2 linked regions of the Arabidopsis thaliana genome follow. The protein of the gene in region 2 interacts with the protein of the main gene of each other region in a pairwise test. Each region holds a gene or a part of one and is shown on either strand. Other genes may lie near its edges.

The links.
Region 1: the proteins of BIGYIN (region 2) and NAPRT2 interact in a two-hybrid assay, tested with the Arabidopsis thaliana proteins (one large-scale study listed by BioGRID).

Annotation. Positions count from the first base shown.
Region 1 is NC_003071.7:9,966,175-9,977,365, reverse strand, and holds NAPRT2 (nicotinate phosphoribosyltransferase 2), read right to left. Parts: upstream 5,764-11,191; 5' UTR 5,548-5,763; coding exon 5,399-5,547; intron 5,308-5,398; coding exon 5,163-5,307; intron 5,075-5,162; coding exon 4,955-5,074; intron 4,863-4,954; coding exon 4,728-4,862; intron 4,635-4,727; coding exon 4,573-4,634; intron 4,477-4,572; coding exon 4,401-4,476; intron 4,178-4,400; coding exon 4,076-4,177; intron 3,942-4,075; coding exon 3,825-3,941; intron 3,735-3,824; coding exon 3,676-3,734; intron 3,571-3,675; coding exon 3,396-3,570; intron 3,313-3,395; coding exon 3,178-3,312; intron 3,093-3,177; coding exon 2,994-3,092; intron 2,911-2,993; coding exon 2,802-2,910; intron 2,726-2,801; coding exon 2,613-2,725; coding exon of another isoform or gene 2,574-2,612; exon of another isoform or gene 2,535-2,573; coding exon 2,457-2,534; 3' UTR 2,159-2,456; downstream 1-2,158. Other genes in the region: ICK1 (Cyclin-dependent kinase inhibitor family protein), read left to right, coding at 1-164, 280-346; CPT (cis-prenyltransferase), read left to right, coding at 9,625-9,782, 10,208-10,445, 10,524-10,594, 10,675-11,119. UniProt on the Arabidopsis thaliana protein: Catalyzes the first step in the biosynthesis of NAD from nicotinic acid, the ATP-dependent synthesis of beta-nicotinate D-ribonucleotide from nicotinate and 5-phospho-D-ribose 1-phosphate.
Region 2 is NC_003074.8:21,124,539-21,134,821, reverse strand, and holds BIGYIN (Tetratricopeptide repeat (TPR)-like superfamily protein), read right to left. Parts: upstream 6,427-10,283; 5' UTR 6,196-6,426; coding exon 6,103-6,195; intron 5,700-6,102; coding exon 5,561-5,699; intron 5,399-5,560; coding exon 5,277-5,398; intron 5,151-5,276; coding exon 5,087-5,150; intron 4,936-5,086; coding exon 4,841-4,935; 3' UTR 4,814-4,840; exon of another isoform or gene 4,566-4,813; intron 3,985-4,565; 3' UTR 3,733-3,984; downstream 1-3,732. Other genes in the region: AT3G57100 (transmembrane protein, putative (DUF677)), read left to right, coding at 487-1,566; NRPE5 (Eukaryotic rpb5 RNA polymerase subunit family protein), read right to left, coding at 7,352-7,477, 7,558-7,671, 7,764-7,940, 8,693-8,944; AT3G57072 (uncharacterized protein), read left to right, coding at 8,986-9,123; AT3G57070 (Glutaredoxin family protein), read right to left, coding at 9,395-10,283. UniProt on the Arabidopsis thaliana protein: Component of the peroxisomal and mitochondrial division machineries. Plays a role in promoting the fission of mitochondria and peroxisomes.

The sequences.
Region 1 (11,191 bases), on a different chromosome or scaffold from region 2:
GAATCGTTAGATTGTTGTTGTAGCGGGAGGAAAACGATGGAGGAGACGGTGACGGCGGAGGAGGAGGAGAAGGCGAAATTGATGACGGAGATGCCAACGGAATCGGAAATTGAAGATTTTTTTGTGGAAGCTGAGAAACAACTCAAAGAAAAATTCAAGAAGAAGTAAGTTTTTATTTTATTTTGTGAGTTTGATTTTTATAGATAATATATTTTTTATTCATAATTTAAAATTGATTTTGAGGTAAAATTAAGAGTGAGTTTATTTTTTTTTAATTAGGTACAATTTCGATTTCGAGAAGGAGAAGCCATTAGAAGGACGTTACGAATGGGTAAAGTTAGAGTGAAGAAGAAGAAGAAGTTTATGGTTTTTTTTTTAACTTTTTAGATTTTAATATTTCAGGGAATAAGTTAATTTTATTTTGTTGATTTGGAAATATAAGATTTGTAGGAGGAATGTTTTTAGAAGTACGAAATTGCACAGAAAAAGAAGAAAGCTTTTTAACAGATTTTAGAGCCCAGAAAAGTCGTGTCTTTTAGCTCTACTTTTACCTCTTCTTCGAATCTTGTGTATCTTTTAGCATATTCTTTAGTACATTTTTATGTTTTTGGTGACTGATAAAATTCTATCCCCACACAGGTACAACCACACTCATTTTTTTGTCTTCTCCGTTTTAATAATATTCAACCAAAAACATCAAATGCATTTTGGTAGATTATCTTACCGCCCTAAACGCTTAAAATTATTTTAGAATTTTATTTCTTACAACGTTTGATATGGATTAAAAAGTACTATGAAATTAGTTATTATTGTTCTACTACTTAAATTAACTAATCGACAATTTCAGTGCAGTTTTTTGTTGAACAAAATCGTACCAACCATGTCAGCTAACCACACCAACTAATTTTTTTGTTTCATATTCAGCACCGAATATGATTGAGCTCGACCAATCAGAATTTCAAGATGATTCTGTTATTCTTAAAGTTTATTGATTAATAACAAATCACAAACATTCTATCACACGAAACTTGGTTTGAAACTTTTCAAAATTTTAATTATAATAATACTAGCATATAATAAAACTTTAGATCTGTAAAGGGCATACTGTACTGGCCCAATGGTTAGAGAATTTTGAGATAATGCCATAAATACATTATTCCAAATGATGCAGGACCATTTTGTAACTAGACAAATTATCCGAAGACTTGGAAACAAAACTCTTTCATGGACCATTTCAGAAAATCTTCAAAACAAATGATCATGGACCATTTTGTATATGTAAGCTTAATTCAGATCACAAACAGGTTAAATGAGGGACTCAAATAAACAAAAACAATTCTTTCATCGAGGGCTGTTTTATTTTCGTGATATTGTTAAGGGAAACTTAAAGATATGTTTGGAATGGCCAAGTCAACTAAATTAACTATTTTTTAAGAAGTCAAACTAAACTTTAGGATTTAAATGACATTTGAAAAGTTCATGTTTTTTTCGTCAACAATATGAAAGTTCATGTTTTCTCAACATTTTTTTCTTTAATCAATCTATTAATTTTCACTAAAGAATTGTTGTTTTGAAAATATGAACGGAGCCAAAAAAAAAAAGAGTATTGGTCCCGACCAGTTTTGTGTATACTATGTGTTTCTTTTATATCAACAAATTTAACTTTCATCCAAGAAAACCCACGCCCATATCGAGTGCCCTGCCCTCGAAGCCATGGCTATTTGGAGACCATAAGAATTCAAAGTTACACTTGTATAACTCTGTTGTATAAGACCAAAACTATCACTTGTTTTTAACCTCAATTTGGATGGATTATCGTCTTGTCATTTTTAGTCATCTTGTATTCTTGTTAAGTGATTTTTCGTTAAGTAATGGTTTCCTTATATTCCATATTTTTTTTTACTGTTTGGTAAGTTTCTGTAATAAAGTTTTACTCCTCATTTACTCTGTTGTATTTTTCTATTCTCATATTCCATAATTCATCTTTTTGGAAATGAATTTTGAATATGTGGTTAGTGACTAGGTCCACCCCAAACGTCCTAGTAACGCCTAAAGAAGTTTTTGAAGAAAGGTAATGTTCTTCAAATCTCTGCTAGAAAAAACTCAATTAACTCAACTGCTTACCAATCCGTTTGCAACAGTAAGTTGTCAACCATATGACGAAACTAAACCTGATCCAAAATCGTTGACTTGAGTAAATGTTTTTACAGTCTCCAGTATGTTTACAGCTGTAAATATAAAATCTTATTGAATCAGTTGAAAACAAAGTTCCAGTGAACGCAGAGAGTTTCTTTCCTCAGTAAGAAAATGAAACTTACTACGACAATGAGAGATCATCAAAATGTTGTAAGAAAAAGAAACTAAAAGTGAAAAAAATGCATATTTGTGATGCTGTGGTATATAAATTATATACATTACACCAAACCAAAACCAGATTCTTCTTTTTGGTTGTTCTGTCACTGCAATTCACCAACAGGTGCTTCGTTTAGCCATAAGAAGTGGATGAAATCGTACAGCTTTGCGCTTACACTAACCTGTAAACCATGAGAGAAAAAAACATTTACACAGATTTCTCAGAAACTGAAAAACATGTTTGTCGGATAAAACCATACCTTATAAGGAGTTGGGTTTAATCTCCTCATATGATCAGGTCGCATGTTTTCGAGCTGTTTGATGCAACGGTCTCTTATCTCTTTCAAAGGCGGTAATACTTCTCTTGCTTCATCTTCATTGGTATAGAGAAACAATAATCAGTGAAAAGCATTGTCATTAATAACTCTACGGTACCGGAAAATCTTTACCTGCACTTCCACGCCAATAACATTTGAGGAGCTCTTCGACACGTTGTGGCACTACATATGCTCTTTTGGATTCGTTGAATGGGTGACGACAAAGTAAACGCTCACCAACCTTTGATATCAAGAAAGATATTATGTAAAAATGCAATAAGGTAATGAGATTAAAATCTTTGAGAGAGTTATCTTTCGTTTTACCTTTGGAGGTGGTTCGTTCTCTCCAGTCATTATATCTACCAGAGGGTAACCTTCTTTGCCGTATAATCTGTAACTTCGCTTTTTACACGGTATTGATACCTAAACGAATCAGAATGATAATCAGATTAAGTGCAATGTGACATTGAATGTTCAGAACACCAAGAGAGAGAGAGAGAGTTTTAACCTTTGTAACATCTTCAGAAAGTTTAATCCGAGGCTGATTGTTTATCTCCACAAGTTTGAAAACGCAACCTAAGGCCGCTTGTGAATAGCAAGTGACCAAGTAGGTCCCGATGCCAAAAGCATCCACCTCATGTCCCTATAGAGATGAAAGAAAAAACACTGCTTAATAATAATCAATCTTTCGGGGGCATGGCATTTGAGAGTGGGTTAGGGAGTCACCTGTTTATTTAAAGCGTCAATCGTCTCTTCATTTAGATCATTACTAGCAGTGACGACCATCTTCCCAAAACCAGGCACTTTTAGTTCTCTCTCTACCGTGCAGAAGAAATTTCTGGCCTCTCTAGATAGATAAGCTAAATCACCTGAATCCAGTCTAATACCTAATGCTTTATATCTGCGCAGCACAATAAACATCAATTGCATCTCAAATTCCATATGATCCTGAAGAAGTACAAAGTCAAGTCAGACGATCGGGTATTGATAAGAGATTCTTACACACCCAAAGTCATTGAGTGCTAAAGCAACTGCACAGAAGTTAGGGATTCCACTCTTCATCACCTGTAAAACAGTCAGCAAAACACTAATATAAGAGTTTATTAGAAATCCTAAGGCTCAAATGAGCTATCTACTATGGTGTTTAATGCTCACATCGTATGTATCTACGAGGGCAAGAAAAGTTTTGGGGAATGCCAGTGCATATGAGGTGAAAGCTGCTAGCTCGCTTTGATTTGTCTCAGAGAAAATGCCACTTAGAGATGGTGAATACTGTCATCCACAAAGAAACAAAACATAAGAAAAACTGTGACAAAGATTCAAGCAAAGGGTTGAAGCAGAAATAGAACAATGGTCCTGAGACTAGAAAACAGGAAGAGGAAGAGCAAAATGTGCAATAAACAAACCTGAATCTTTTTTAACCATGTCTGAACATGACTAACAAAATCCTCGCACGTGGTTTTCCCATCAGCACTACGAAGTACTTTGTCAACAATCTCATCAGTACTCTGCAATCCAAAGTTAACTAATTATATCGAAAATGCTTTTGTGATATTGTTATGAGCGAGGATATTAAGTGTGCATCAGAACCATGGCTAATAAAGTTATAGCAACAAAGGCATTGACAAGAATATCTTATTTTCACGAAACTTTGTGTTATCGTCTCTACTAGCTAACTCAAGTATGTAACCTCCACATAAAAATTGAAACTTTTGGCTGAAGTGAACTGACCATGAATGAGCTAACATAAGCATGAGAGTGTGTTCCACGAAGAGGAATCCCAAAAAGTTTTCCAGCTGCTACATTACTGTCATTGGCAAAATACCCAACAACACAAAACACATCATTTCCACATTCCCTTTCACCTACTTCCAGATCAACAAAAACAAAAAGCAAGACTTGCCTTGTTGCATCAAAACCTCCAAGGTAGCAATATTTTGATGCGCTTATTGCACCATCCGGACCCTAAGATTCCAACACTAATAACATCAGACAGAGATGGAAAGAACAACACAAAAGGCAATATATCAAAAAACAAGAGAGAGATTTATAGGAAACCTGAGCCCTTCGAGCACCAAACTCGAGTAGACTCTTAGATTTTCCGGCAACAAAGCGATGCCTAGCTGCGTTAGTAGCTACCAAAGATGCAAAATTGACAAGATTGAGGAATGGAGTTTCCAACAATTGAACAACCTATGGAGATTTTACAACAACTGATGAATCATTCATTCAAGAAAACTATTCCTTAAACAATCTTCACAAATGAAAGAGACAAAGAGACTCACACCAACAGGTCCTTCAACTCTCATGAGAGGTACTTTAGGAAAAACAACTGATCCTTCCGGAATTGCATAAACTTCAACATCAGAACAATCAAGCCCTCTAAGATAATCACAAAAAGCTTCCTAATTTGAATCACAAACATAAAACCCTGATTTAAAAATCCAAACTTTAATCAATAACAATCTAAAAACAAACAGATTTTTGATATACCTCAGATCCAGGCAAACACTCTTGAACGAAATCGATTTCTTCATCAGTCAATTTGAAATTGGCTAAGAACTTAACACACTCTTCTAATCCAGCAAACACAGTGTACTCACCACCAAATGGGTTCTTACGAAAATACAGATCGAAACTGAAAAGGAAACAAAAACAATTTCAAATATACAAAACCATTCAGAATTCAACATCAAAAGCAGAGCATGAGAAGAGATTGTGTGTTGTACACGGATCGTTCGTTGTGTTTGCCAGCTTTCCAATAAGCATAAGCCATGGTGAATTGATAAAGATCATTGAGTAAAGGTGTGACCATTGGATTCGTTGGTCCGTCAATGATCTTCTGACCCAATTCTGAGCCGTTCTCTTTCGGCTCCATTGTCGTCGCTTCCAATTTGTGTGGAACAATTGGCTTCGTATGAGTGAGTGTGTGTGTGATTACGAGAGAGTGAATGGACGAGGAACACTGGTTCTTGGTTGTTTATATTGGAGTGGTCAAAGGAAAAAGAAAAAAACAAGTGTGTTTAAAGAAAGAGACGACGACCACCACACAAAGCAAAACTTGCTTTGAACTTGACCTAGTCTTTCTTTAAGAGCCTTTATTGGTTTCTAATTATTTCTCATTTTAGAGTTTAGACTAAAACGAGGTTTAATTTTCGTGGTTGTTGGCTCTTAGATTATTGGAATTTTCACGTTTAAAAGAATTTTATGTGTTGAAAATTGGCATATGGTAGCCAAATTCAACTAATTATAATAATTACTCAGAAAAATTTACATATTGGTATTGGTAACAAATAACAATATCTTGTATCTCTAATAAATTAATGAAAAGAGTTTAGCTGTTTTAATCTAAAAAACTTAAATTACAGAGGCGGGGAATTTTTTCATTTCAAATACATTTTTTTGGTGTGATTTATTTCACATACATAATTCGGAAAACTTGTATAGCGTAAATCTATTGATTAATAATGGTACACACTTGCTGTGTTATGATATATTTGTGTATTTAATGATTTTAGTTTATTGACTATTTTTAATGTGCAATATTAATGATTTTTAGCTCTTTTGCAATCAAATATGCAGTATGATATTTGATTAGTAGTAAATATTTACATTTCACATATATGTTATAGTATTTGATGAATATTGTACTTATAATATATAATATTTGTTAACATTAAAATAGAAAAGGTTAATGTAGATTAATACATCTTAAAACTTCAGTTTCTTAAAATATATAAATATTGTAAAAATGTTCAGATGCTTATTATGGAAAAACAAAACAAAACAGAATTGCATAACACCAAAAATTTTAAACATGATTATGAAAAAATCAATCCAAATTTAGGTACATTTATTTATCAAAGTTTAATTTTACATCAAACAATAGTATCTAAAATGAATTAAAATGAACTCAAACTTAAGACTAAACATAAGATTGTCCCAACTTGGTTTTTGAAGCCATATCGCATATGGCCTAACCATATTCATGGTCTCTTTTATTTGTCAGTGTCATGATATGAGTATCACAATTTGATAGGGTTCTCTTGAAGTTGTTGATTAAAAATAATCAAAACAAATAATTCTGGAGAGAGCCTCCTACGTGGCAGTCAGTGGTTGGTTGATATATTTAACCAACAAAAAATCCTTGTGTCTTTATTTTTCATTCCGTCGGGAAATTTTCTCACTCTCTCTATTGGTCGTCTCTCTCGACGCTGCTCACCATTCCGAGTTCGTTTCACCAAATCGATGACCCAATTCTATATGTGTTTGTCCCAAATCCAATCTCCCACCAAACCCTTGCTTCGTTCCCTCGAATCAGAGCATTGTCAGATAGGAAGATGACTAAGCTTTGATTGATTTAGTTGTGTAGATGATTTGGTTCTTTAGAAAACGAAGAAGTTATCTGATTGATCTGTTTCGTTTTATTGTTTGTTGCATGGGGATCAGTGTTGTTGATTTGGATCCCATAAGAACCAGCTTTTGCTTGGGTACAGTCATTCTAGTAATCTAGTCTGTTCTCTTGGGTTATTAATATTTTCTTCAGTTTGCATTATTAGCGAGAGGAAGTCTACATATGTGTTTGATTGATTCGTAATGCTGGTTATCGTTAACACCTTTATATGGTTTTAAAATCAGGTGATCGTGTGCCCACTAAGTTGAAGAAAGCCATCATGCAAGCCCGAGAAGACAAGAAGCTGACTCAGTCCCAACTTGCTCAAGTATTTTCTCTTTTCTCTGTATCTATCTCTTTCTTTTGTTGCTTTTTCTTAGTAATTGGCTTCATGATGGTTATGTTGTATGTTTTGAGTCATTGGCTTCATAGATGTACAAGACTAGGAGTTTGTTTTGTTGGCGTTATGTATTTTGGTGATAGACTCTGTAACTATGGAACACATATAGCTCATGATTTGGTGATAGTAATTCGCTTCATAGTTAAATGTATCTCTAATTTGATGATAGTAATTGGCTTCTAATTTGAGTGAGTCATGCAGATTCAAGCCAAACAAAAAAAAAAAAATTATAAGAATTTTAATTTGTTGATGAGTAGAGGAACAAAAACCTTTTAATTTTTGAATAACACTAGATTTGATATGGTTTTTAAGAAAAACAAAAATCTTCTAAAATCCCTAATCCAATACATCCCCCTAAATGTTTTGGTTTACTAATTTTGTTTTAATTAGCTCATAATTTATGACAAAATTATATATTTAACTAAACATTATAATATTTATTTCACATCTATTTTATAATATTTCCAAAAAATGTATTTTAATATTTTATGCTTTGTAATATTAAGTTGTATGAAATAAAATAATTTATATGAATATTTTTTTTTTAAGAGACCTCCTTTAAGAGAACCTACCATTGGAGTATAAAAAACCAAGAAATAATACACAAAGTTCTCTTGTTAGTTTTTTGAAAATTTAATCATAAAAAAATGGAGAGAGCCATTGGCATAAAAATCTAGCTAGCTAGAAACTTTTGTATGATATCACTAAAACACAAAACGTTAAACATATTAACCATTGGCATAAAAATATGTATTTTTTAGTAGATTCTGTCACACTAACAAAGAAAAACATAGAAATTTTCTATATTCTTTGTTGAAATGTAGAAAATTTTAACATATGCAATGATATCCAAGGAGCTTTCTCCATTTAAGACATTTATTCAACAAATAGAAATTATTTTTTCTTGCATTTCAACAAAGAAATCTTCCACCTGTATATGTTTTTTTCATATAAATAGAATTAAAATAATATAGCTATCAAAAACACTTGATAAAAGCATATGCACATTTAAGATTGAGTTACAAAATTAGTATTTAAGATGAAAAGAAAAATAATTAAGATTTTTTTTTAGGATCAAGTTTAATGGCTATAATAACATCTTCTTGCACATATATGTAGTTATGTACGTTTCAACACAGTATTATGGTGTAGCAAAAGAGCAGCGAAGTATATTAATATTCTGAACTCTTATTTATTCAATCTAAAATATAATATTGTGTACGAGATGTCTTTTATATATTCTTTTATTTGACAAAGCTAGCATATGATTCATTTTCCACATGATGATGGCATATACATCGACCATAGTTTACCATGAAATCCTTCTGTCATGAACTTTATCTGCATGCCTTTTTAAGACATGTTAACTACGACACGTTTTTCTCTTTGTCTAACACTCCATGAACTTGCCCCATGTTTTCTTGTGTTTTTTTTTTTCTCTTGGAGAACACTGCACATGTAGCAGGCTTAACTATCTTTCAAACTACTCGGTTCGACAGATCTTTCTTATAGAGATCTTCGTATAGCATATCGACTAATTTTGTACGGTCAAAACTCAAAAGCTTGTTTCAACTGCAAACAATTCTGTTGGTTAAAAATGTCAACCAAAGAGTGTCACGAGGAAGAATTCAAATTCATGTACGTTCCATGATTTAAGAAAAATCATCAGCGAGCACTGTGATTTTACTTCCTTTTTTTTTTTTTTGGTAATTAACATACTGTGATAAGAGAGTTTTGGATTCTTCTCATCTCAACATTTTCCGTGTAATTTATAAAGACCTTTTTCGGTCAATATATTTTAACCAGACTCGTAATTGGCCAGAAAAATAAGAGAGTTTAATTAATTTCTCTAAAATTATTGGTGCTAATCACAGTCTTGTGACACAAGAAACCAATCACGTGGGTTCCAACTTCCAAAGCCCTAGTGTAATACGTTACAAAACGTTACAACTTGCAGCTGGAAAAAAGATAGATAACGTTACAAAACTTCTATTAACTGATATTAAAGTTTCACCAAGGAAGAGTGTAATACGTATTACCACCTGTCTTTGCGTAGTTTGATTGATCAATGTCTTTGATTTCTTAATATATATACTGTAAATGAGAAAGCCTCAATAACTCAAACAAACATCGAGGCAAAGCCAAATTAAGTTGTCACAACAATGTTGTCTCTTCTTTCTTCTGATTCTTCTCTATTATCACTCCTCTTTCTCTTTCTCATCCCTTGTCTCTTTATCACAAGCTATATAGGCTTCCCTGTGTTCTTGCTAAAACTCATCGGACTCATCAAAATCAAAGCTGCTCGAGACAACGAGAAACGGTATAGTTCGCGTTTTCTAATCATACTTTTAGTTTTAGTAGTAGTTATATGTTTTAGTACTCTCTTAACTAAAATTTTCAAACTTGTCATTAAAAACCTACAACCTTCAAATAAAATTTGGCATGCATTTAGCCAATTAGCAATAACTTAATCTGCTGTGTGTTACACATATACATTTTTTCATACAAAATGTCAATCTTTTAAGTTATATCCACGCTGTAAACTTTATAAGCAATTTCTAGCCACACATGTTATAAAACCCTTATAAACACTTTCTATACCATATTTATAAAAGTCTGAAAATCTAGTTTGTGGTATTTTTGAATATGGACAAAAACAAAATTTGGTGTTTGAAGAGTGGTATTTTGAAACAAGACAGTTTTGGTTGGATCATGACTTAACATTGGCTTTTTGTGTTTGTGAAGTGATGAGGGAACTTATGTTGTCCGCGAGGATGGGTTACAAAGAGAACTAATGCCGAGACACGTGGCATTCATACTGGATGGGAACCGGAGATGGGCCAAACGGGCCGGATTGACGACGTCACAAGGCCACGAGGCGGGAGCTAAACGGCTTATAGATATCGCCGAGCTCTGCTTCGAGTTGGGGGTTCATACAGTCTCAGCTTTTGCTTTCTCCACAGAGAATTGGGGAAGAGACAAGGTGTGACATTTTGGAAAAAGTATGTAGCTTACATTCTCATACAATTATCGATTCTAACAATTTGTTGTTATTATTAAGATTGAGATTGATAACTTGATGTCTTTGATCCAACACTACCGCAATAAGTCCAACATCAAATTCTTCCACAGGTATAAAATATAAATATAATAAAAAAAATTTGTTTAACATATTGGTAAGCTCATTTATTAGCAAGCTCTTCTTGTTTCAGATCGGAAGTTCGCGTTTCTGTTATCGGGAATAAAACGAAGATCCCTGAATCTCTCCTCAAAGAAATCCATGAGATAGAGGAAGCTACCAAAGGCTACAAGAATAAACATCTCATCATGGCAGTAGATTACAGCGGGAAATTTGATATCATGCATGCTTGCAAGAGTCTTGTGAAGAAATCAGAAAAAGGGTTGATCCGAGAGGAAGATGTAGACGAGGCATTGATCGAGAGAGAGCTTTTGACAAATTGTAGTGACTTCCCAAGTCCTGATTTAATGATTAGGACAAGTGGAGAACAGAGGATTAGTAACTTCTTCTTGTGGCAACTTGCTTATTCCGAGCTTTTCTTCTCGCCGGTATTTTGGCCTGATTTCGATAAGGATAAGCTTCTAGAGGCTCTTGCTTCGTATCAGCGTAGGGAAAGACGATTTGGTTGTCGGGTTTGATCCACCTTTCATCCTCTCTATTATGTTTTGTTCATCTGTAATTTCTACCAAACTTCTTGCGTATCATTGTAA
Region 2 (10,283 bases):
CAAAGAAGTGAGAGGCGAGAGAGATGAACTGTTCAGACAAGAGACGTACAATGAAAAAAGATAAAATGGTATTAATATAGAAAATATATAGAATATGATATCAAATCTTTTTTTAGGTTAGTTTCTTAATTATTAAATTTTTGTTGGTTATAACACCAAATTTCTCAATTTTTATTCATAAATATTTCAATATGACCGTTGCATCAATTTCTTTTTTTCCGAGGGTTTATACAGCTGTAGAAAAGTAAGAAAAAAGGAAATTTTGACTTGGCAAAAAAAAAAGGAAATACTTCTTCGCAAATAAATGGAAATTTCTTACAAGTTTATTAATATAACCCGACTGCTGACTAATTTTTCTATAATGATTCTTATTCATCTGATCAAAATTGTGAAACTCTCTTACTCTGTTCTCTAAAGATCGTATTTTTGTTTACTCTGTTCTCTAAAGATCGTATTGATCTTCTTTTTACTCTGCAAAAAACGACGATGAAATTTTGCAATCCTTTCTTGAGACTCATTCTCAGGCGTAAACCGATCTCCATGATTTCTCCAACAATGTTTCTCCTATCGTCACCTACCACTTCGTCTTCCATCGGCCACAGTAATGGGATGCTGCGATCACGATCAGAAGATAATCTTAACAAACTTGGCGAGTGTATGGATAATATGGACGAAGACGTCTCTAAACTCTTCATCGAGTTTCAACAAACTGATCTCCGTGAAGATCCCGACTTGTTCCGTCTTCTCAACCATTACTTCACCACTAGCAAAGGTGTTTCCCAGCTCTGCGAGTCTCTTAGAACTTGCTTAGAGAGATCCGAGAACAACGAGTGTCTCTTACTTGATGAAGCACTAGTTGATTTTGAGTTGGAAAAATTAGGTTATGGTGGGTCACTCGAAGAAGCTAGTTTCAGAAAAACCTACCGAGATCTGAGGAACTTCAACGCCTTTTACAACAACAATTCCGGTGAAGAAGACGACTTGGATTATTGCGAGTTTCTCAGAAAGTTTCAGACTTGTCATGAAGAGTTGGCGAAGATGGTCGTTAAACTGGAGAAGACGATGAAAGATATCGACAAAAAGCTGAGACGTGTTCGAGGACGAAGAGCGATTGTCACGGCAGCTTTACTAGCTCCGGTAATTGCTGTAATCTTCTTGAGTAAACTCGTTGCCGGATTAGTTCCTATAGAGGGATTGAGTACCTTCGTAGCTTCAAGATGGAGAAAATCAACGGAATCTTTGAAAAGGGAGAAGACGGCCATGAGTTCAATGGAAAGAGGAATTATCGTGGCTCTCAAGCAAGTGGAGAAAATTAGTAAACTCGTGAGTCGATTGGAGTCTGTGGAGAGGTCAATTAGTTTGACGGCGGAGTTTGCTGTTAAGAAAAGGTCTTCGGTGGTTGTAGCTATGAGAGAGGTGGAAGAGGAACGGAAGAGGTTGAAGTCAACTCTCGTTGACCTAGACAGAGAGACTGGACTTTGCAATGGTTTTGCTCAGTTTGGTCGTACGGTGGCTCTGGAGAAGATTACTGAGTTTCTTTCTCGTGGCGACAAGAGCTCCAAATAGTTGTTTTTACCATCTCCAATGGTAAGGATCCCTTAGAATTTTTAATTGTAAATTTTGACAAATACAAAGTATGTTGTTACTTGTAGTTTTGTATGATCTTAGGAAAACTTTGCCTCAAATATGTGTTTGAGATTTACAGAGAAGCAGAAAACAGGAGGTCTAATATGTGTTTGCCTCAACTTGGAACTCTTCCTTAGGATGTCCTATTCACTAAGCATTTATCATACTTTTCATGTTTCCATCAAGATTCATATGAATACAAACATCTCAAACTCTAGGGGTCTTCTATCAAAATTGGAATTTTTCTTTTGGATTGTAAACGTAACGTATAACAGGAAGGGGAAACTACAGCTTGTGTGTTGAGCCAAACGATGAGTTGAATGTTGTTGTTTCCAAGAAAGTCTTACCTTGAGTTATGCGGAGGAAGGAGGAAGCTATGGTGGTGGTTGTGGGCGGTTCATGAGATTGTGTTGGTGCTAAGATATGTAATCAGATGGGTGGATAACATAGAGACCGGGCTGATTCAAATTGACGAAGGGCTGATGATGAAGGAGGGCGTGTAGCTGAGAGTGAGAATCCTGATGATGCTGCATTTGAAAACAGTGGCGGTGCTGTAGCTGCTACGGCGGTCCCAACACTGGACTGATCATGCCCTTGCCATGTCCTGGCTGGGAAACTTTGATGAGAACGTAACATAAGCCATTAAGCCCTTTCTCTGGTGTTCTTTCCTGGAGACAAGAATTGAACTTTTAGGACAGAAGATTGTTCATTCAAATCTTCAAGAATATCACAACATAGAAGAAGAACTAACAAGCAACAACATACACTCCTTCTCAAAGGATATCAAAGAGTTGAGCTCAAGTACTTAACTGATCATATAAACAGTAACCACTTGATGAACATCTAGCTGAATTTTCTTATCAAACAAATTACTCATAGGTAGGGTAAAGTTCGATAAATTTAAAATTGTCATGTGGTTCAAGAAATTGAAAGGCGTATCACATGCCACTGCAGCCATGTGGTTCTCTATCTGTGAATAGATCAAATGAAGAGCAAGAAATTCATGAATAAATGAAAAACCACGAGGGCTCGAGCTAGCAAATGAGACAGTATCTTTGAGTTCCAGATTGCTATGACATATCGACAAAGAAACATTTGACTAACAGAGTGCATAATGAGAAGAAATAAAAGGCTAGGAAGAAAACAAAGTAACGGATACAATTAGAGTGGAAATATGGATAGCAGAATACACACCTCCAGCACTTTCATCATGTAGTCATTAAGTTTCAATTTTGCTTTAATGAAACTTATTGGATCAAAGAGTTTAATAGAATTTGATTGAATTGAATTGGACACATAATTACAGATTTTCACGCATTGCAAAAGATTTTAAATATTCTTTTCAATTCTAACGATTACATTTTCAGCATTTTATTAGAATTGAATAGAATTAAAAAGTACTAATAATTTTTCTAATTCTCTGTTTCTAATTTCAGTTTTGCTAACAACTGAACCTATTTCTTCTCCACAGTCTCCACTTGTAAATCTCTAATCATACGTTTCAAAATCTACAACATTTCCTCCTTTTTCTTCGTCTTAAAACCACTCTCAATACTGCTAAGTTTAACAGATCGCATAACTTCTCCGCTTTTCTCGCTAAATCCTCTCTGATCATTGTAGATTTCCAAACATCTTCTTTGTATTCTTCTCGGAGTTCACGTCGATAACGAGAGCTATCTCCGCAGCTAAGGGCGTCGATGATGATTATGCACAATGACAAGAGTACTCTATGGTGTAAGGAACCGTTTTCTGAGAACAAGTAACATTAGGCTTGAAAGTTTGGAGAGTACTTGAAGACAAGAATCAGGAACATCAACAATACTAACATTAGGCTTATTAATCGTGCAAAAAGGGAAATTAGCTGCTTATTAGCCTTTACATTAGATCTAGCAGACCCTTTACATTAGCCTTATACGACCATTTGTTTTGTGCATTTTGCACTAATATTTCTATTAAATTCTTGGCAAATGACATTGTCATGAAAATTAGATAATATTGAATAACACTTGAATTGAGTAGAATTAAGAAATTGAGAAACTGAATAACACTAGAATTTAAAAGAATTTATAAAACGCCTAATTGAATAACAATAGAATCTATATTCTAATAAATTCGGTCAAAGTCATTGCTCCAATACCCCCCACTTTAAGAACTTGAATTGTAGTCATTTAGTTTTGTCTGCTCAAATGGTGGGGTTCTTTAAATTTTTTTTAACCAAAGTAAATGGTGTTTGGTGTAAAAACTGAGAATTCATACAAAGATACTCATTCAAGTAAACATAAAACTCTCTTGCTCTTCTCAAAGATCCTCCTTGACCTCGACGACATCAGCTGTGCACCACCACCACTACTTCAAAATCTGCTGAGTTATTTGGGATTGAGTCAGAGTACATACAATAGGCAAACTTTACATAAAGTGAATTCAGTAAACCTATTAAATGCAGTTTCATAAAGCTTTTCTCCGAAGATAAACATATTATATGGAGAAAAATATCAAAAAAATCGCGAACTTTCAAATTTGGGACGAAAAAAGCACGAACTTTCGAAATGTCATTTAAATCGTAAAGCTTGGTTTGACTTTTTGAAAAAATAAACAAGTTTCGTTGACTTGGCCATTTACTTTCTGTTAAACTTAAATGGCCATTTAAAGATCGTAGTAGTTGGCACATTTAAGACATGCCGTTAAATCTTATTAAGATTGATTATTCACCAAATAAGAATAAGAATAAAAGTTTCTAACTAAAAAATAATTAAATTGACATATTGCCAATTTTGGTTTCTTTTTTTAATAAATCTCTTTGTATATAAAAATATTAATTAGCGGAATGACTAATATTACATAATTATAATTACATAAATTCCATATATATTTCTAAGTTTACATAATTAATATATTTTAATATAGAAAGTAATTATAATTCTAAAAATATTAATTTGCAAGGTTTATAAAAATGCTAATTAATGATATGGCAAACCGCAATTTGTAGTTTAAAATCTTAAAATGCTATGTAAAAATGGTATGTAAAAATGCTAATTAATGACATGGCACAATGTTAATTCGAAGCAAAATGTTAATTCGAAGCAAATAGCTTCGACTTTTCTATATCATAGATTGTGAAGTAAGCAGTGGAGAACACACTCAAAGAAGAAGAAAAAAATGTGAAAAAAAGTAAACTGCCATTGTATACACAGAGAAGAAGTCATGGTTGTGGTTTTCATTTCTTGCGAGACATCGCTGCTACGATACCACCGGCTATGAGACCCACAGCTCCAAAGGCTGTAGCCGTGATCCCTATCCCTATAACACCATCTGAGAATAAACAAATACCATTTAGTAACTCTGTAAGTCAATTAGGATTTGTTACAAACATTATCTATCCCTAGAAACATCCATCAATTCAAGTGTTTAATCCCTAGAACCATCCATCAATTCAAGTGTTTAAGTTTGACGAGTGGCTTACCCTTTGTGATTTTGTCTTCGATGGTCTTCTTTAGGACCAAAGCTTGTCTCCAATCAGCTTGCATCTATGAAAACAAACCATACATCAGAGAGCAAAAGAATAAGCACATATATATATATATAAGCAGCACACAGTAGTATATAGCGGATGACAGGGTCTATAAAGAAAGGATTTGGGAAGTGGATGAAACCTCGATACAGCGGTCCACGAGCTGCCTGCTCCTTGAGTAATTCCCACTTCTGTAATACCCAACAGCAAGAAGATAGAGCTTCTCTCGGTCCTCCAATGGAGGGGCACTGCTTTCCAGAGATGCTGAAAAAAACAACAACAACAAAAACAAATTTATCAATATTCTGTTTAAATGATGCAGAAGAATAGCTTCAGCTTTCTTGTGTCAAAACCAGTGCTAAGTCTTGCAGCCAAACGAATATGTCAGGCCATAGTTTTCACAGAACAAGATAGGAGTACTACTACCTTCAAGCATGGCTATTCCACGTTGAACATCTTCCGTTTGACGGGAATGAACAAGGGCCCATGACAATCGCATCAAGCACTCTTTCTTAAGATCTTCAGTGCCAGAATCTGTGGCCTCTCGAACCTCTCTTTCACATCCCTGCACATCAACACAACAGAGTTTAGCAGATGAAGCTAGACGATTGAAGAAGATACAAAGCTATCAAACAAAAAACCATTGATGCTGTGACATTTGGTAAAGTTCTACACAGCTATCAAATTCGGATCCAACATAAGGGTGCAAAAATCAGTAATCACGCTCATTTGAGGACGAATTTTACAGCAACTCATGAACTTCTAAAGCTCGATTCAATCGAATCCAATAAAAAAATATCCTCGAGAAAGCAAATCCGATTTCAGAAATTTCCAAGCAGAAACACGAAAACAGGTCTAAATTTCTGCAAATGGTTCATGATTCCATTTGCCTACAAGAGATGGTTCATCTTCTTCGGAAACATAGGCGGAAAAAAGCGAAACAAATGAAGGATATAGAGAAAACTTACAGCGATGACATCTCCGTCGCACCATGGGATCTTATCGCTGCCGCTGAAGAAAGTACCGACGGAGTCAAAGAATTGTCCGATCTTAGCATCCATTGAAGGCGATTTTGAGCTTTGATTGATGAGGTTTTCGTTTCTGGTCTCTTTCTTAATTCTTAAGGAGAGTTTCTTAAGGAGAGAAGTTGGACTTGTTGCCCAAGCTCAGGGAAACAGACGATATTTATCCCTTGAATTTATCAACAAGACCCCTGTATTGTTAAGACTTACCCACATTGATCACCATATCTTCTGTTTTGTTATTAACAACCCTTTGGAATAAAAAACTTCTGTGACATGTGATGGTGTATTACTGATTTTTTCCAATAAATTTACAAGATTCATAACAACTAGATAAGAAAAGGAAAAAAACTGATTTAATCTTTCACGATTAGATGTTTAACGTGGAGTTTTAACTCAATCAAGCAGTTATTACTATTGATGGTTTGTAAAAGTAATTTCTATTTTTTAAGTTATTAAAAATATCTGAAGCAACAAATTTCATATTTTAGATCATAGTACTTTTTTGTTGTCGATTTTAATTTAGGTGATGTATTTTGTTTAATTGAATAACAGTTTAACGTTAAAATACATATATATTCATGTCCATAGAAAATACAAGACTTATAAAAGCATCAAAATAATCGGAGAGATTTGCTGAAAGTTTGCCACTTCTTCAAACTCTTTGGATCAATATCACACGCCTCTTCTTTTCTTCCCCTGCCCATTTTTTTGCTACAATATCTAATTGGTTTCATCAGATTTTTTAGTATCTTATTCAGTCCTAGTCGTCGTCGGGCTTGGCTAGCCGGAGCTGCTGTATGTATCGGGGAATCATCGACGACTGCACTGTACATCAAAGAGAAGCCTGACTCAGATAAACTTCGACCAAGCAAGGCATTGTTGAGGTGAGCCTCGAAAGATAACCGCTCAAACCGATCCATCAATGAGCTTTGATTGTCCTCGAACCTCTGAAGAAATGTTGGAGTCTCCATGGCCTGTTTTTGTGTATTGATAGCGTGTAGTGACTGCTCTTTGTACGGAAAACATAAATGGTAATGTTTTCAAGAACAAGCAAAGGATCTTTTTTTTTTCCTTAACTTTTTTTCTTGTGTTCAAAGCAACGGATCTTCTAGGATTAAAAACAAAACCTTAGAAACATACAAGTTATTTTTTCCTGAAAATAAGTACACAAGATGGTTTTTAATTGGTTTCTTCACCACACACATCGGAAGGCAACATGCGATTCCGTGAGTTCGCCTCTGTAATTCACCTTCACAACTTGCCCTTTCTCTAATCCGTAGTACCGGACGATAGCATCTTTCTTTGAAATCCGAGGAAGCTGTTAAATAAATTTTGGGATGAACGGTTCAAAAAGTGAGACTATTACTTTTATTTAGCTGCAAGAAATGGATAATGGACCTGTTTTTCCTCAATGCTGAACTTCTTGAGAAGTGTTGTCTTCTCTTCATCATTCAACACCTGATGTTGTGGCTTCAGTGAATGTTTGGTTATGTTGACTAGCAGATCCGTTATCTTAACAAGACAGCAAAAAGGAAACTAGATGTTACAGATTTGAAGTACTAACCAAGAAAAATTAGATTAGGAAAATATATAGGTGTACCAACCTGGAATATCTCGACCTTGAAAGAAAAAAGTTCAATGGCTTTCAAGGCTTGATTGGTTACATGGTTTTGCAGAACCAATATCAGCCCAGTTATGGTTTCTTGGCTAAGTATATCCGCTACTACACTGCGGATTGCGTTGACTTTAACCATACTAGTACCAAAAAAGACAATTTTTACCTGAACAAGCAAAATCACAACACTTCTTGAAGCAGACCCTTTAAACCAATAACACAATGTTACTATATCCAGAGAATCACTATGAGATATCTGTCGTTATGCCATAAGACTAGAGCTGATGCAAGAAACATCATGAGTTGAAAATAGAAGACATTTATAAGTAACAAAAATCTTGTAGCAATCAATATATGAAATCGACTAGTTGAAAGCAGGTGACAAGCATGTCTATAAGCATACAAAAAGAGGTAACATGAACCAAACAACCAACAAGAAAAGGGGTAAGATTTTCAACAAATATCCAACTTAACCGTTCTTTTGCAGTTCAATCTCATTCTAGAATTAAACATGGAAACTTGTAGCTATCATCAGAACTCGCACATTTGACATTGACCATACTCTAAAGATTGAAGAGATCACTCAATGAATTGTCCGAATGTTCAATAGCCATAGGAAGAGATCTAAGAATCACTTTGCTAGTTGTTACCAGAAACATTTCACATTACAAAAATTCAGAGGACAAACAAATGAGGTATGCTACTTGATAAGGACAATAAAGTAGTAAACTTTAGTCATCTGAATCCACAAAAGTAGCAATTCAAACTTCAATTAGAAGATAAGAAATTTAAAAGAGTCACAAATTTCATATTCCATCATCTTCTTCACTGCCAAACAGTAAACCCCACAACATGCAAAGACAAAAAAACAGCTAGAAATCGAAAAATCACAACGAATACGAAAATACTTCGATATACCTTTTTGGTAGAATCGGAGCGATGCAGAGCGGAGATGCGAAGACGATCAACATCGGGACGTTCACCGTAAACAGTTCGAAAATCGTGAAGGGAGAGATTGATATCTTCGTCGGAGACTTCGTAGCCTCTGTCTCGGAGCATCTGCAAGCCATTTCGCCGCGCAAGATAGTATCTATGACTCTCTTCACTCGATAGATCCACGTATTTGCTCAGACACAGAACCGAAGCTGTCTCTTTCCCTTTCACTTCCATTTTTGTCTCCCTTATCTGAGCAAAAGTCGTCGAGTCCAGTGATGGGATTTAAAGGGAGACTAAACGTTGTCGTTTTAGGATTTAAGAACAGAAGGAAGAAAGCTAATATAGGTGAGCGAGCAGGTGACATCAATCAATCAAACTACATTTGTGGTAATGTTGCACATATTTTTCATTGATAAAAAATACCTTGCAAACAAAGCAAATCATTCGGCTATTATGCGAATTATCAATCATCATCTACCATTTGATGTACTTCATATAGTAAGAATCATTTAGTTCAAAAGGTCAAGAGCGTAAATGGAACAAAAGAACACAACTCATAAGAGTAAATAATAAAAGGCTTGAGCCAACTTACTTATTTGAATATACATTACTAACCAAATACCATGTTTAGTCAATCAATCTATATCCCCTTTCTCACACACATCTTTTGATCAAACTGATCACTTAGAGACAACACACACGACAACGCACCAATCCATTCTCATTGCATTTAGGACACCGCTTAAACCGTTCATCTTGTTCTTCAAACACTTTGGTGCTACCATCACAGTTAGTACAAGGCACAAACCTTGCATCACCACAGCTCCGGCATGTCCCCAAGCGTTCACAAGCAGGGAAATCTTTCAACATCTCTGCTAATTCACCACCATCATTTAGCTGCATAATCTCCTCCACGCCACCAATGTGAGTTCCTCTGATAAACACCTGAGGCAAACAAACCGGTTTCTCTGCGGCGCCAAGCACGCTTTGAAGCTCTTTCCTGTATTTGGAATCCATAGAGATGTCACGTTCGTCTACGGACACTTGAACTCCTCTCAATATCGCTCTAACGCAACAACAATCCTCGTATGTCTTTCGAATTCCTCTGAGGGTTGTGAAGTAGAGTACAATCTTGTCTTCTGTTCCTGGTAATCTCGGTTTGGCTGGTGATGAAATCAATTGACTAGAGGATACAGATTTTGGTTCTTCGCTTATTAAGATGGATGGATTTGATGATGGGCTACAAGAGAGAGACTTTGTGGGTCTATGAGGGTTTCTAGTATTACTATGATTGCTTAATAGCTTAGAAGACAAAGCTTTCTTGTAGGATGAGACAATGCTGGGATCTAAATCAGAGAGAAATGATTCTTCAGACAAATGCTTCCACAAAGGTTGCTTAGGTTTATAAGTCAAAGGAACCCAATCTCCATCGTCTTCTTCGATTCTCACAATCTCGTAAGATTCATCCAATTTCAACGAAGACCCATTTAAACTCACATTCCGATTCGGGTCGGGTTTAGAGCAAAAATCCGAATTTAGACGCTTACCCGGTTTGGGAATTTCGAATTCGAAT